Xenopus tropicalis: one gene and its partners. The protein of the gene in region 3 purifies or fractionates together with the protein of the main gene of each other region. This does not show direct contact. Links are inferred from orthologs where the notes say so. Each region holds a gene or a part of one and is shown on either strand. Other genes may lie near its edges.

Evidence for each region.
Region 1: the proteins of sdc2 (region 3) and ampd2 purify together in Homo sapiens (co-immunoprecipitation; 3 studies listed by BioGRID and IntAct, counting the BioPlex papers as one, with this or other methods). This does not show direct contact. The link is inferred for Xenopus tropicalis from reciprocal best matches to the Homo sapiens genes SDC2 and AMPD2.
Region 2: the proteins of sdc2 (region 3) and pdpk1 purify together in Homo sapiens (affinity purification with mass spectrometry; 4 studies listed by BioGRID and IntAct, counting the BioPlex papers as one, with this or other methods). This does not show direct contact. The link is inferred for Xenopus tropicalis from reciprocal best matches to the Homo sapiens genes SDC2 and PDPK1.

Annotation. Positions count from the first base shown.
Region 1 is NC_030678.2:71,725,711-71,730,868, forward strand, and holds part of ampd2 (AMP deaminase 2), read left to right. Parts: intron 1-2,708; coding exon 2,709-2,835; intron 2,836-4,021; coding exon 4,022-4,185; intron 4,186-5,158. UniProt on the Homo sapiens protein: AMP deaminase plays a critical role in energy metabolism. Catalyzes the deamination of AMP to IMP and plays an important role in the purine nucleotide cycle.
Region 2 is NC_030685.2:28,864,227-28,869,384, forward strand, and holds part of pdpk1 (3-phosphoinositide-dependent protein kinase 1), read right to left. Parts: intron 4,203-5,158; coding exon 4,160-4,202; intron 2,684-4,159; coding exon 2,546-2,683; intron 1,842-2,545; coding exon 1,697-1,841; intron 1-1,696. UniProt on the Homo sapiens protein: Serine/threonine kinase which acts as a master kinase, phosphorylating and activating a subgroup of the AGC family of protein kinases.
Region 3 is NC_030682.2:129,877,290-129,881,393, forward strand, and holds part of sdc2 (syndecan-2 precursor), read right to left. Parts: intron 2,904-4,104; coding exon 2,764-2,903; intron 1,558-2,763; coding exon 1,446-1,557; intron 1-1,445. UniProt on the Homo sapiens protein: Cell surface proteoglycan which regulates dendritic arbor morphogenesis.

The DNA.
Region 1 (5,158 bases), on a different chromosome or scaffold from region 3:
TCATTCTGATCTGCTACCAGGGGAGAGGCGCTATATTGTCAGCTTTTTCCTACGCTCAGGATATGAAGACCCGCCGCTGGGGCCCTTAGGGGTCCACGAGCTGAAGAGGGCCATCCTGCGCGACCTCCAAGCCGGGTTGCGCAGGGGCTTTGGAATTGATGTGGACCTCCGCCTGCTCCAGCGCATATGGTCTGACCTGAAGCGCAGGAATTCAGATCTGATCGCTGAAATTGCGGAAGGTAATTATTGTACTTTATTATGCTTTTACAGAATACGTTCAGGAAAAGATTTAGCAAGTAATTTGAACTAAAAGAACAAATGTAATAAATGTCAGGGATGACGAAAGTAACATAGTAACATAATAATGCCAGTGAGGAACTGAAACGTTGGTCACAATAAACCTCTGAATATTATTTCACATCTTCGTGACTCCTTGTGAAAATCCTGTGTGTGCCGTCACCCCATGCCTGTCTAGATTTTGTTTTGCCACAGGCACCCAGGTGTTATTGTTCCTCATGGTGTTCAGCTTCCCAGCACTTCGTATTGTATATATATATATATATATATATATATATACACATCTATTTTCAAATACATATGCATAAATAAGTTTAAAGCAGGGGGGAAGCAGCAGGGAGGGGCCCATAGTATGAGTCATTTGGGGAAGGGCCATGAATGTTTTAGGGGGCCCTGGCTAACAATGTCTGTGTGTCCTTTGTATTGTTGTGAGGGGGCCCCGTTATTTATGATGGTGTATGAATGTATATATATATGTATAATATATTACACAAAATAACATCTTGCAATACTATCTCACAGAACTTCAGCTGGCGCCTCATCCCCAGGCACAACCCCAGGCACACCAGGCTCCTGTGGCCCCCGAGGCCCACCAGGCTCCAGCGGCCCCCGAGGCCCCACCAGCAGCGGCCCCAGAGGCCCCAGCACAAGTGGCCCCAGAGGCCCCAGCACAAGCGGCCCCTGAGGCCGAAGAGGCCCACGAGGCCCCGGACACTCCCCCCCTTCATTCCTCCCCCAGTTTCCCCCCAGGCCCCGGACTCCCCCCAGGCCAAGCGCTGGGCACCAGGTTCTCCTGCAAACGAGGGACCATCACGGCGGTCAATGCAGGAGGACCTGGTTAACATCAAGGCCGAGCTGGCCCAGCTCCGGGGGGAAATGGCAGAAATGCGCAGGGACATTACAGAACTCAAGGGCAGCAAGCCCTAAGTTTTCTTTCCCAGTTTTTTCCCTTTAATTGTTAAAATAAAAGTTTTTATTTTTCTACTTTTGAACTGGGTAATGTCTAATTATTTTTCCTTCCTTGATATGGTATTCTATACTTTCATGTAGTTTCTCCTACACTCTTACATTTATCAGTAACAGCATCAATATGCTATATGGGTTAAATTTTTGCAAATATTCTGCCTACAATTCTGTCTTTAGCCCATTTTGCTGAATAGTAAAGCTTGCGTTAATTAGTACGTAGCGTATTTTCTGGCGAGTGTGGCTAAATATTCTTAAATGCCCCCCCCCATTTTATTATCTCTAGCACTTCTTTTTTTTTCTTACTTAGCTTTTTATTGGTTTTTTGGTTTTTTATTTGCAAATAAACATTTATACAGCACCTCTCTAGCACTCTGTGCTCTCCCAGGGCAAAATGTCCCCAGTTTTATGCTGCCGATTGTCGCGTGAGTAATGTCACGACAATTAGCGCTTGCGATAAATAGCATGCATGCGAAAAATACCGCGCACGTTATCTATCGCGACAAAAATATTGCATGAAGTATCGCGCGTAAAATAGCACAAGTGTGCTAATAGTGAATCGTGCGAAAAGTCGCGAAAATTAAGACGCAATAAAATTTTTAACGCACGCTATATATAGCGCACGTTTTATCGCACTTTAGTGAATCGGCCCCATAATATCTTCAAATTCTGCACCATCTTCAAATTTTGCGCTTTCCCACAGAGTTTGTTCTACTTACATGTGTTGCTAAACTATAACTTTGAACTAGTGATGGGCGAAATTATTTGGCAGGCATGGATTTATGGCATATTTTTGCATTTTGGCATTGGTGAATTTTTTTACGAAACAGACAGCAAAATTTGCATCGGAAACATTTGCCATATGAGAAAAAAAAAAAATTTGTTGCTGGACATTTTCACTGTTTCAAAAATTTTTTGCTGTTTTGCGAATCTTTTTAAAGATTTGCAAATTTTTAGGCTAAGTGAAAAATTTTATAGTAAAAAGAAATACATTTCCTGCATATGCTGATCATCTTATCATCATAGCAGTAAGGTGCTACTCCCAAAAGACAGAATTAAACTATCTATATGAATCAAATGCTTTTATAGAGTCATTTAAACTCTGCATTAGTGAAAATACATATAACATTTTCCATAACTAACATTCTTTTTCTGTTGGTGCTGTCATTAACTTGTTTTATGATGCTTCCTGAATTCATCTTTTCTTGTGTGTCACAAGACAGGTTTCCCTATAATTTAATGTCCTTATGTTCACTGCATGTAGTTAGAAAATTTATCAGAATATAAATTATTAGGGTTTTTCTCATTTGGGTGTTAAAAGAACTCAACATATAACAAAATGCTTACCTTAAATTGCTATGATGGGTTTGGATGTATCAGTATAAAACCTGCCTGGTTTTCTCTCAGTTTGATTTCTATTGTCTATCCTCATATGTTTTGCTTTGCAGTGATGTATACCGCAGTAAGAAGCAGATTTCTCACTTTCAGGAGATGCTGGAGAATATTTTCCTGCCACTTTTTGAAGTCACTGTGAACCCAGCAAGTCATCCAGAGCTTCACCTCTTCCTGGAACATGTGAGTACCCTCCAACTGGCCCAAGAAGCCATCTTCTGTCAAGGCAGTATAATGACTGCAGCAGCCACCTTATGTTTTTGTACATATATTTGAATGCTGTTTAACTACATAATCATATTGATTCTTTCTTATGTCAGTAGGTCATTTTTGGCATTATATTTATCTAGAAACAAGACATGCCTCTAGACCCCCCTGGACTAGATCATCCCATGGGTTTAGTTGACATCTTTGCGATAGTTGGCTAGAAATGTGTATGCATTTTTGGGGCTCCTTAATGCTACATGTGGCACCCTAAAGGAATTTATGTCATACTAAACTGATCAAGGGTATGGAATGTTTCCATTATGAAGAAAGGCTGGATATGTTTTGTTTATACAGATGTATAAAGAGACTATACAATAAACAGTGTCTTGTTTTATTTACCAGTATGTCCCTCACACAGACTTGAGGGAATCCAATGAGATTTGAAAAAAAGGAGGCTCTGTCATAATATTTGAATAAGGGTTTTTTTACAGGGAGTGCTCTAAAATTGTGGGTTAGATCCAGGGACTGGTTTGGTTTCCATATTGGGGTCAGGAGGAAATATTTTTGCCCTCAGAGGCAAAATAGAAAACATTCAGATGGGTTTTTGCTTTCTTCTGGATCAACTTACAGCTAAGCAGGTTTCATTAGACTAAAAGGTTGAATTTGGGTATAGTCAACTTCGAAAGAGCTGCTTGCAAATGTTGTAGTAAAGGCGATAATGGCATTTGTACCATTAACAATTTTAGTATTCTTAGAAGGCCACTGGGAAGAAAAACAATGGTCTAACATTAGGAAAGCTGACCCTGTGACTAATGGAAGATATAGTAGTTTAGGGGGACATTGGGCACAATTTCTATATGTTTGTGACACAAGTCATCTTGCTAATATCTGGTAAGCCCAGAAATGTTATTGTTTTGGGTCTCTGTAAATTCTACTTACACTACTAAGGGAAAGTATAGATTAATAGCCTCTTCTTATGTCAAAATAATAAATTAGCATGATATTCAGAATCATACTTTGCATACATGGGCCTATTGAAAATGCGTCTATGTAGCTTGAATTCCATGCACGTGCATAAGACAGGATGCAGCATATTATTTAATATACATATATATTCTATATACATAGTAGAATGAGCAGAAACTTTGCTTGTCTCAATTAGGTGGATGGATTTGACAGCGTTGATGATGAATCCAAGTCAGAACATCACATGTTTAATATGGATAGTCCACTGCCTGAGAACTGGACAGGAGAGGACAACCCTCCATATTCCTATTACTTGTATTACATGTATGCCAATATGACTGTTCTCAATCACATGCGCAGGTAAGCACATTGAATCCATTTTGAGATACTTAATAAGGCTGTGCAAGCTAAAATAACATTTCTGGCTCTATTATTTAGATTTTTTGAATATCTTGTGGTGCCCTGGGCTGCTCTGTGCATACTCAATAGACTGAAGGTTGCCGTACACAAGCAGATTGTGTCCACATGCTGTAAATGATCGTATAATTTACCAGTCCTTCAAACTAATGATTTTTCTATCAACGCAAAAATTATCTTAGGCAATAATAGTAGTGATACCATGAGGTGTCTTCAGCATCACACAGTAATAAAAAAAGGTCAAACTTGATATAATATGTTGACCAATTCATCCCTTCAAATGTGCCAGCTATGCAGCTACATGTACTGTATGTATGTATGTATAACTTTATTTATAAAGCGCCACAAGGGTACGCAGCGCTGTACAGTCTTACATACTTGGATCCTTGTATGACAGGGGTGGGCAAACTTTTTGGCTCCTGGTGAACATTAACTTTTAAAATTTGACAGACGGGCCATCCCCTCCAGCAGGCAGCAGCAGCCAATCCCTCATTTGCTCAATTTGCCCCCAATCTGTATATATATGCCAGCAGGCAGTAGCAGCCAAAAAATCAATCATATTTTGCTCTCAAATCATATGTACCTTTGCCAGCAGCAGCCAGGAATTTCCCCCAAATCTGTCCATCCTGTGCCAGAAGCCAGGTTCCTTTCTCCTGCTCAGTGCTCAGGTTTTCTCCACTTCAACTCTGCAAACAGCGCAACGCGCCAGCACTTCTGTCTCTGCAGTTTGAATGATGCACAGGCATATGCACACACCACTGCCTGCTACACATGCGCACAGCGTGGGCCACATTAAAAAGACCAGCGGGCCGTAGTTTGCCCACCCCTTTTGTATAACATATTCTGGTAGATTTACAAAAGAATGCTATGCTCTGAATTTCTCCATGCAGTGGAAGTATGTAAAGTACACCCCTTT
Region 2 (5,158 bases), on a different chromosome or scaffold from region 3:
AACAACATCATATAGGGGGGAGGTCTTGTCAGACCCATCAGAAGGACTGTAGTCAAATGGCTGTAATAGACAAACAATATTTTCCAGTCTCTCTGGGTTTAAACCTAACAAAGCTCCAATCAGATATCAGTTGGGAAAGGCTACTTTTATCTAATGCTTCACTGAACACAGCAGTGATTAAGTACATCAGATCAAAGATTAATGAACCCATAAGGCCTAATAGCAAACAGGAAAAAAAACCTAGGAATTTTATTTAAAAGATAACAGTATGCAAAGACACATTCATGATTTTCATTCATGGAGTTACTGGTCCTTTAAAGTTAAATGTATACTTGTGTTTCTCTAGCATAGTGATCCCCAAACAATTTCTTTCATGTTTGTGCGGCTCATCAACTCTTTTTACATTTGTGTGTGGCCCACGAGTAAAAAAAAGGTTGGGGATGCCTGCTCTAGCAGAAAGGCGGGAGTTTAATGGTCAGCCCAGGGGATATGGACCGGCATCATCAAAAAATAATCATAGGTTATTAAAGGAGAACTATACCCCCCGGGTGCAAAAACCCCCTTAACTTATCATTTCCTAAACCCCCCTCACCTCTCTCTTATCGCATAGTTTTTATGTTTACACTCTATCCCTATCGCTAACCAAAAATGCAGAGAAGCGCAGCCGCGTACCTGGCTGACATCTTCTTAGCAACTGAAGACCTTCGGGTCTCGAAGCGCACACCTAACCTGCTTGCGCAGTTGAAGTGGATTTCCTGCTACCTCCAACTGTGCATGCACAAGCAGGTTCGTATCAGCGGAGAGACTTGAAGAGTCTTCAGTCGATAAGATGATGTCGGCGAGGTAAGCAGCTTCGCTTCTCTGCATTTTTAGCTAGCGCTTAGCGAAAGGGATAAACTGTGTAAATGTAAAAACTATGCGATAAGGGAGAGGTGAGGGGGGTCTAGTCAATGATAGTTAAGGAGGCTTTTTGCGGCCGGGGATATAGTTCTCCTTTAAATGCAAATCAGAAGCAAAATACCGTGGCCTGTTAATTAATTTTAAGAGGACAACAAAAAGATAAAGCAGATTAACTACTCATTTAATTTTACATCATTTTTAATGTCTTTGCAGCTGACCTGTATTTTACCCTTGTGTTCTTCAATTGTAATCCCTATCACCACTTATTCAGTTTATGGAATTATAAAATACTGTCATTATGTTAGAATAACTTCAGATTTTATAGGTGCCCTCATTTTCTTTGCTTAAGGGTCATGAGAAAAAACAAGGGGAATTGTCTCTGCTATGAATAGTGCCACATCTGCCACACTTCAACAATGGGTTGAGCTAATAAATGGTATGTTGCCACCGACCAAATTGACATACAAAGCTTGGGGTACACCCGGAAAATTTGAGAAAATATGGAAACCCTGGCTAGATGCCAACCCCAGTATATCCCTACCGGATGATTAAACCCCACATATAACCTTTTGAATACTCTAATATATACCAAGTTTAATCCACCAGTTTAAAGGTAAGTAAAGTAATGATCCAGGCCTTCAAAGCTATCACAGCAGCTCACCATCTTGGGTTCTTTTAGAAGCTCAGCTGTTGAGAAGCTGAGCTTAGAGGCACAGTTGTTGCAATATGTTCTAGTAACACATTCACCTAAACCCGGGAAATAATTTTGGCTCTTAATTCCACGTTAGCCATTTACCTGTGAATAATTCCATTCTCGTGCAGATATTCTAAAGCACACACAATTTCAGCAGTATAAAATCTTGTGCAGGTTTCATCAAATGAGCCAATCTTTCGTATGTACTTTAGTAGTTCTCCGTTCTTAGCATAACTAAGACCAAAATCTGTTCACTTGGTTAAGGAAGAACAGATATATGCAATGACTATTTCACCCCTGATCCACTCAACTTTCTGCTTATCTAAGTTTCTATTTAAATTGTCATCGTCACGGTAGTTCTTGCAAGGTCTTTTAATTTTAACAACATGTAAATGATAAGGTATTAAAAGGGGTTGTTCACATTTAAATTAACTTTTAGTATGATGTGGAGAGTGATGCTCTGGTTTTAATTTTTTAAGCGGTTTTTGAATTAAGTTTTTTGTTAAGCAGCCCTCCAGTTTGGAATTTCGGCAGCAATCTGGCTGCTAGGGTTCAATTTAACCTAGCAACCAGGCAGTGGTTAAGAATAGAGACAGGAATATGAATAGAGTAGGACCTAAATAGAAAAGTAGATAATAAACATTAACAATAATAAAATTGTAGCCTCACAGAGCATTAGTTATGTGGCTACTGTGGCCAGTGAACAATATTTGAAAACTAGAAAGAGTCAGAAGAGGAAGACAAAAACAATAAGTCAAAAAGTTGTTAAGAACACGCTATTCTTAACCTGAAAGTGAATCACCCCTTTTACAAAACCCATGCTTATTGTAGCTTTTTAAATGGCCCCATTCAATGGCCACAAAGTGAACACTGAATGCCTACTGTCTGAAAACCTGGCAATATATGTACATTGGTTCCACATCAGTGCTAGATTGTTTGAACAAAGGATACAGAGCTTTTCAGGATCTTGAAATGTGAAATAAAGTTTGACGAAGAATGGGTGGTCCAAACGGGACATAACATCTTTTTCCCTGTTCACATATTGTACCTTGTTCTCCTTCATTATATGCCGCTTCTGTAAAATTTTAACTGAAACATAAAGACAATGGTTTAATAGGGTTTCTAAAGATATCAAATAAACTCAATGCAGAACAAACATGTAACGCGAAGGCTATTTCGTAAATAAAGTGTCCCGAAATTAAATGAATAGATTACACATGAACTGCGGTTTCTCTTTGGGTATGTCAATGCATCTAGGCCGGCTGCAAAGTTTTACAGCAGAAGTCACAGGAGGGCTGTTCCCACAGTACTAACATAATTTGTTATTGTTACCTACAAAAATTGAATCACTCCTGTGATCTGTACTCAGTGGCTCTATATCTTTGAGTCTATTAAGTGATAAATTTATGTCACATTAAGGGCTCAGGCACACGGGGAAATTAGTCACCCGCGACAAATCTCACTTGTTGCGGGCGACTAATCTCCCAGATATGCCATCCCACCGGCTTGAATGTAAATCGCCGGTGGGATGGCATATGCGGCGACACGATTTAACGAAATCGCGGAAGTTGCCTTGAGAGGAAACATCTGCGATTTCAGGAAATCGCGTCGTGGCATATGCCATCCCACCAGCGATTTACATTCCAGCACTGAAACACACAAGCATGCAATTTGGCACCAAAATTTGTCCTATGTGTTTGCACCTGGGCTGACTCAATGGCTCTGAGTGTAGGCAGAGGGTAAGAATTATGCTAGCTTAGGGGCTGATTCTCATCCTGTGTTTATTGACAGCCAAGAACCAGTATTAGCCTCATATTTCAGCCAGCTTCTGCTTCACCTTCTCTTCTTTCCAAGACAGGCAAAAAAAAAAGCCAGAGCATACACCTACATGGGGGGGAATATTAAAAGCTTGAATCAGCAGTTCACTAGTGCCCACAGCATGCAAACTATAAAGTGCAAATTGTGCTCTGATCCAGAGAATGGATTATAGGAAATGTGATGCACAGCTGTACTTTGACATTAATCTGCACTGAGTAGGAAACCCCCAAGTTCCTGCCATTCATGGTACAATAAAGAATTTTACCTTATTACCTATTTGTTCCCCTCCTTTTGTATGTGGAATCTTTAAATATAAGAGCCTTGATGAGCTGATACGCACTGCATGACCTCCTGCAATTGTAATTACTGGTTGCTATTTACTCCATTGTGAGGTGTAGGTAATCTCACTGCACGATGCAAAAGATTAATGTTCAAGGCAAGTATGAAAGCACTATTTGCACTTTATATTTCTGCACCTTGTGAGCACTAGTGCACTGGCAATACAAGTTTTTACTGGTGTCCTGCGCTATATATTTACTCTTGTGTTCCCAGTAGGCATGCAATATAAATAATTTTTTTCAAATATACAAAATTATGGCAAAAAGTGTCATTTTTGCCCATAAAAAAAACAAAAACACAGATATATAGAGGAAGTAGTAAGAACCATTATATTCTTGGAGTGCCAATTAGCAACTGCACTGCTGGGTAGCATTACTGATTGGCGGCAGTAGGGTGAAAAATACTTACCGGCATATTCTCTTCCTGTTGTTAACTCTTTGGCTAAGACAACCTAAAATCATTAGAAAAGTAAAATTAACACTACAAAAACAAATGAAACATCTGAACATCTAAAAACACTGATGCAGAAATTTAAGGAAAAGACTACAACTAATGTAATATGGCTCACTATATGACATAACATATATAACCCAACTTGAAATTTAACTTACATCAAACAAACCCAATTGGATTTAAAAAAAAAAAGATCTGGAACTGCAGTTCGAAACGTTTTTTGAAAGTAAAGATCTAGAACTGCAGTTCAAAATTGTATTCAAAAGGCAAGATCTGGAACTGCAGTTTGAAATTGAATGTTATTATATGAATATTACTTTAACTGCCATTTATTATCACAGAATTGGCAAACATACAGCAAACCTAGGTTTAACTGTACAGTTAGCCACAAGGGCACAATCACTTGCACTTAATCAACAGAAGCATCCCTTTCTGTGTGGGGTTCTCCTAACAAGCATTTTGGCTGATGGGACCATGGGGCAATTAACCAAACTGTAGTTACATAAGGGAATATATTTAATTCTAATCATAGTCATGATTAGTCACCCTTAATTATGAATATACATGGAAATATAACTGAATGAGCTCATAACAAAAACGGGAGTATATTTTGGTGTACAAATTAGGCAAAGTTGCCTCTGTTTTATTATGAGAGAGAATAAATTCAATTGATTTGCTTATAATGGAGTCTATGGGAAATGGCATTCCTGTAATTTAGAGATTTCTGGATACTAGGTTTCCCTATACATAGTTCAAACAAATGACATGGAGGAAATCAAGAGTCATGAAATCCTCTATTAGTTGGCCTTCTGTCTCGGCTGAGAATGGTCATTCCATCGGAAAGAGCGAACCTTTGCAGAAGTAAGGGAAATGTGGATCCCTTGCTTCACAGAAAAAGAAAAAGGACTGAAACTTGACGGTGAGCATAGTGATACCTTTTGAATACAGAATATG
Region 3 (4,104 bases):
CTTGATCCCAACTAAGATATAATTACCCCTTATTGGGGGCAGAACAGCCCTATTGGGTTTATTTAATGGTTAAATGATTCCCTTTTCTCTGTAATAATAAAACAGTACCTGTACTTGATCCCAACTAAGATATAATTACCCCTTATTGGGGCAGAACAGCCCTATTGGGTTTAATTAATGTTTTATTGATTTTTTAGTAGACTTAAGGTATGGAGATCCAAATTACAGAAAGACCCCTTATCCAGAATACCCTTGGTCCCGAGCATTCTGGATAACGGGTCCTATACCTGAATTTCTACTTTGTATTCCTTACCTTTCTATTCAGTCCCTCTCCTATGTATATTCCAGTTTCCCATTTAAACCACTGCCTGGTTGCTAAGCTACACAATACCCTAGCAACCAGATAGCTGCTGAAATTCCAAACTGGAGAGCTGATAAACAAAAAGTTAAATAACTGAAGAACCACAACAAACAACTGCAAATTGCCTCAAAATATTAGTGTCTACATTATACTAAAAGTTAATGTAAAGGTGAACAACCCCTTTAAGCACATTTACAACATTTTAGGACACGTCAGTTTATTTAAAAATTAGTTTTTATTGTAGATTTTTTTTTGGGCAGGGCTCTCTTCACCTCTTGTATCTGTTATTGATTGCTTTATATGTTACTCTGTATGTCCAATGTATGTAACCCACTTATTGTACAGCGCTGCGGGATATGTTGGCGCTTTATAAATAAATGTTAATAATAAACTACATTAAACAAGGCATTTCCCATTTTTCCTTCTCAGCCACCACACTAAGCAGGGGAAATCAAATAACATCAATTCAGAGAGACCAAATGCTATTTGTTGTGCCAAAGCCCGACCACCTAAAGCAGCTTTGCCGTGCATTCTCCCAAAGCCCCATCCGCTTTTCTCCATGAAGAGTGAATAGACATGGGGTGAGGGCAATATGTTGCAGTGCCAAGGAGAGGCCACAGGCCTTTATATACTTAAAATCAGATGTTCAGCCCTTAGGCTTATGGGACACTGGTCATATTCTCCCCCAGAATTCTCAGCCAGCAGATAAGCACCCAAACCTGCCTGAGGAGGCGGTCTTTAGTTTTAATGAAAATGGCCTGTCGGCATCAATGATAGGGATTTGAGCTGCAAAATGTGCAATTTCATGTTGCTTTTCATCAAAACAAATGGCAGGCTCCTGAGTGGGTGCTTTCCCACTAAGGTAAGGAGCACCAGGATGACGTTCCATGCATGTTCTGCTGGTAATGTTCTAGCAGAACCAAATCATTAGTTTATCACAATTTTAATATTCTAATTAATGGAAATATTAAGTGTGTAAATTCCCTAAATTGGCTGCCACAGAAAATGTGTAGTAGGCAAAGCAATGTAAAGGACAGAATAGAATCTGCCCAATATAGTCATTTAGTCATTGTTGTGCCCTTACCTGCAAGTACTTCTGTTCTGTGGAACAGGTTCTCTGTGTGTGTTGCAGTCTGGACGATATCCTTGTTTCCATAGACAAGAACTGTGTTGGTTGACTCTACTTCGCCAGGCTCCTGGACAGGAGGGGAAATATTTATACAATGGAAGTTCTCCTACATTCAGTATTATACAGACAAGTGCAAAAATACTTTTTTTTTTTAAACTTGCTCGTGTAATTTTTACTGCAGTTTGGTTACCCTATCGTTGCTTGAATGTCAGAATGATGTATTACAAAGTGAGCCTGAACAGAATGATAGGAATAAATCAAATGAGGCAAAAATAAAAAGTCTAATTTATTCTTTGGGAACTAGAGAACTTCATTGTATGCAGGTGGAGGGCTGAACAGTAACATTAAACATGAGAAAGGGTGACAGATAAATGGCTGAATAGGAAGAAGGTGACCAACCAACTGTACAGCATTAGCCAATTAACCCTATGAATAGTTGTACAAGCTTGGGGGAGGGTGATAGATCTAAAAAGTCAAATAATGCACCCAAAAACCACCAAATGTCCCACTATACAGTGGAAACCAACTAAATAAAACATTGCTGGATTAAATTTGCTAAACTGTGAAGCATATGTTACAGGTAATGAAAATGGCAACACCAAAATGGCGACAGACAATCAGAATATGGCCGCTACCCTGAATTATTAGCAGCCAAAATGAATCCTATCAATCAGAGCCCCAAAGCTGGTGGTAAGCTCTGCCTGCACATAGAGGGAAAGGGGAGCAGATGGAGGTCACTATAGCACAAAAGGGCTCCCCTAGTCTGTGAGACTATGGGGTGTGTTTACTAAGAATGGAGATAAATATCACCAGGGATGTTGCCTGTAGCAACCAATTAGGTCTTTGCTTTGATTTCTAACTTGTAGGTAACTGTTCAAATCTTATTGCTGATTGGTTGCTATGGGCAACATCACTGAAGATATTTATCTCCAATCTTAGTATACATGCCCCTAAGTACCGGTTCTATACGGATAAAGGAAAGTTTACATGTGCAGAGTTACAGCAATTAAAGTGCAATCCTATTCTACTGGAATGGTACCTGTTTGAACCTCCAAACCAACTAAATAAATACCTTGATCTACAGCAGCAAAAGTCAAGAACACAAAGCAGCGGTAGATGCCCACTAGCAAGTTCTACATAATGTGCTTCGTCTATACTGGGCACAACAATAAAGTACATTGGTGTGTGGGACCTGAGCCAGCTTGAGCTGTAAGGCAATAAAAGTCTATATTTGGTCCGTAACTTTATACATATGCAATGGCATCACTCCTACCTTGCTTTCAGGCGCAATTTTTGTTTGTGTTTTCAATGTTGTGGTGTCAACATATGGCATTTCACTTGATGGGCTGCTTATTAGCGTCTCGACAGTTGTTAACACCACATTGTCTTCATCATCATCGCGTGCTGGAATGCCTGTGGAATAAAGGGGACCTATAAGAAAGCTGTTTGTACATGATCCACTCACTCATACGCAGGAAGTTCATTAGGAAGGAATGAGAGGTTAATAATAAACTGATTTTGCTCTTTTATAATCTTTAATTCTTCCTGTCTATCTCTCTCTCCAAGAGTCATGTTAAACCTGGGGCCCTCACATCCCAATGGCTGGAAGACAGTACAGCACAAACAGCATAAAACCTAGCATTACAGTTATGGGCAAGTTTCCTTACTTTATAAAGTGTCTAAAAACCACAATTTTTTTTTCATTGTTCCTTACACTGAATGTAGACATTCTTTTCCACTGTAAATCTCCAATCTGTTCTGAATTTTACTTTTAATAATGGCGTCAAGTAATGCATGTAAAAGACTTGGGTTTAAATATCCAGCAATGTGAACATATAATAAAATCGATATATTGGGTGCGACAGGGGTGATAAATCCTTTTAAGAAACAACTGTATGCTAAATGGGTACAGCTGAATGGTATTGTGCTTCTGTAGGGATTACTGGCCCTTTATAAATTGGGAAATTCAAGCCAAGAAGCAATGAGTAAAAACCCTTCTCTAGTTTTTAAACTTAAGAAAAGATTTACTAAAAGATAAAAAAAAAAACACTGAATTTTATAGATCTTAAATTTCATGAAGTACAAACAGCTGTCAACTATAATGCAGGTTCTGTAAGAAAGCGTGCATCTTCCTCAGATATTTTTTTAGATACCTTAAGGCTTAGATAATAGTCACAAACGTTTTGCACAGTGAAATCCATTGTAAAAGGATTTTAATGGTAATTGTACTGCATTATGATGGACAGTTCTAAACTACAGGCCTCCACACCCTGGTTGTCAGTCAAAGCTAAATTGATTTTGGTGGGGGAACCACCGGTTCTCAGTGTCTGCCTTCTGGGAAGGAATTAATATAAAGTGAAGCTGCAGTTCCTCTGTAGGCTGTATAACCCTAGCAGGTAGAACTGCAGCTTACTCTGGAACATGCTATATGAAAGTAAAAGACAAGATACTATAACTTGGGCAGGTTTATGGCTTTGGGGTATAGTATAAAACATGTTGGGAGGTGCGTTAACATACTGGGGATAGTTATTAATTCTTGCAGGACCCCTTGAGTCTTAAAGGAACACTGCCATGGGAAAACATGTTTTTTTTTGTTTGGTTTTTTTTTTAAACC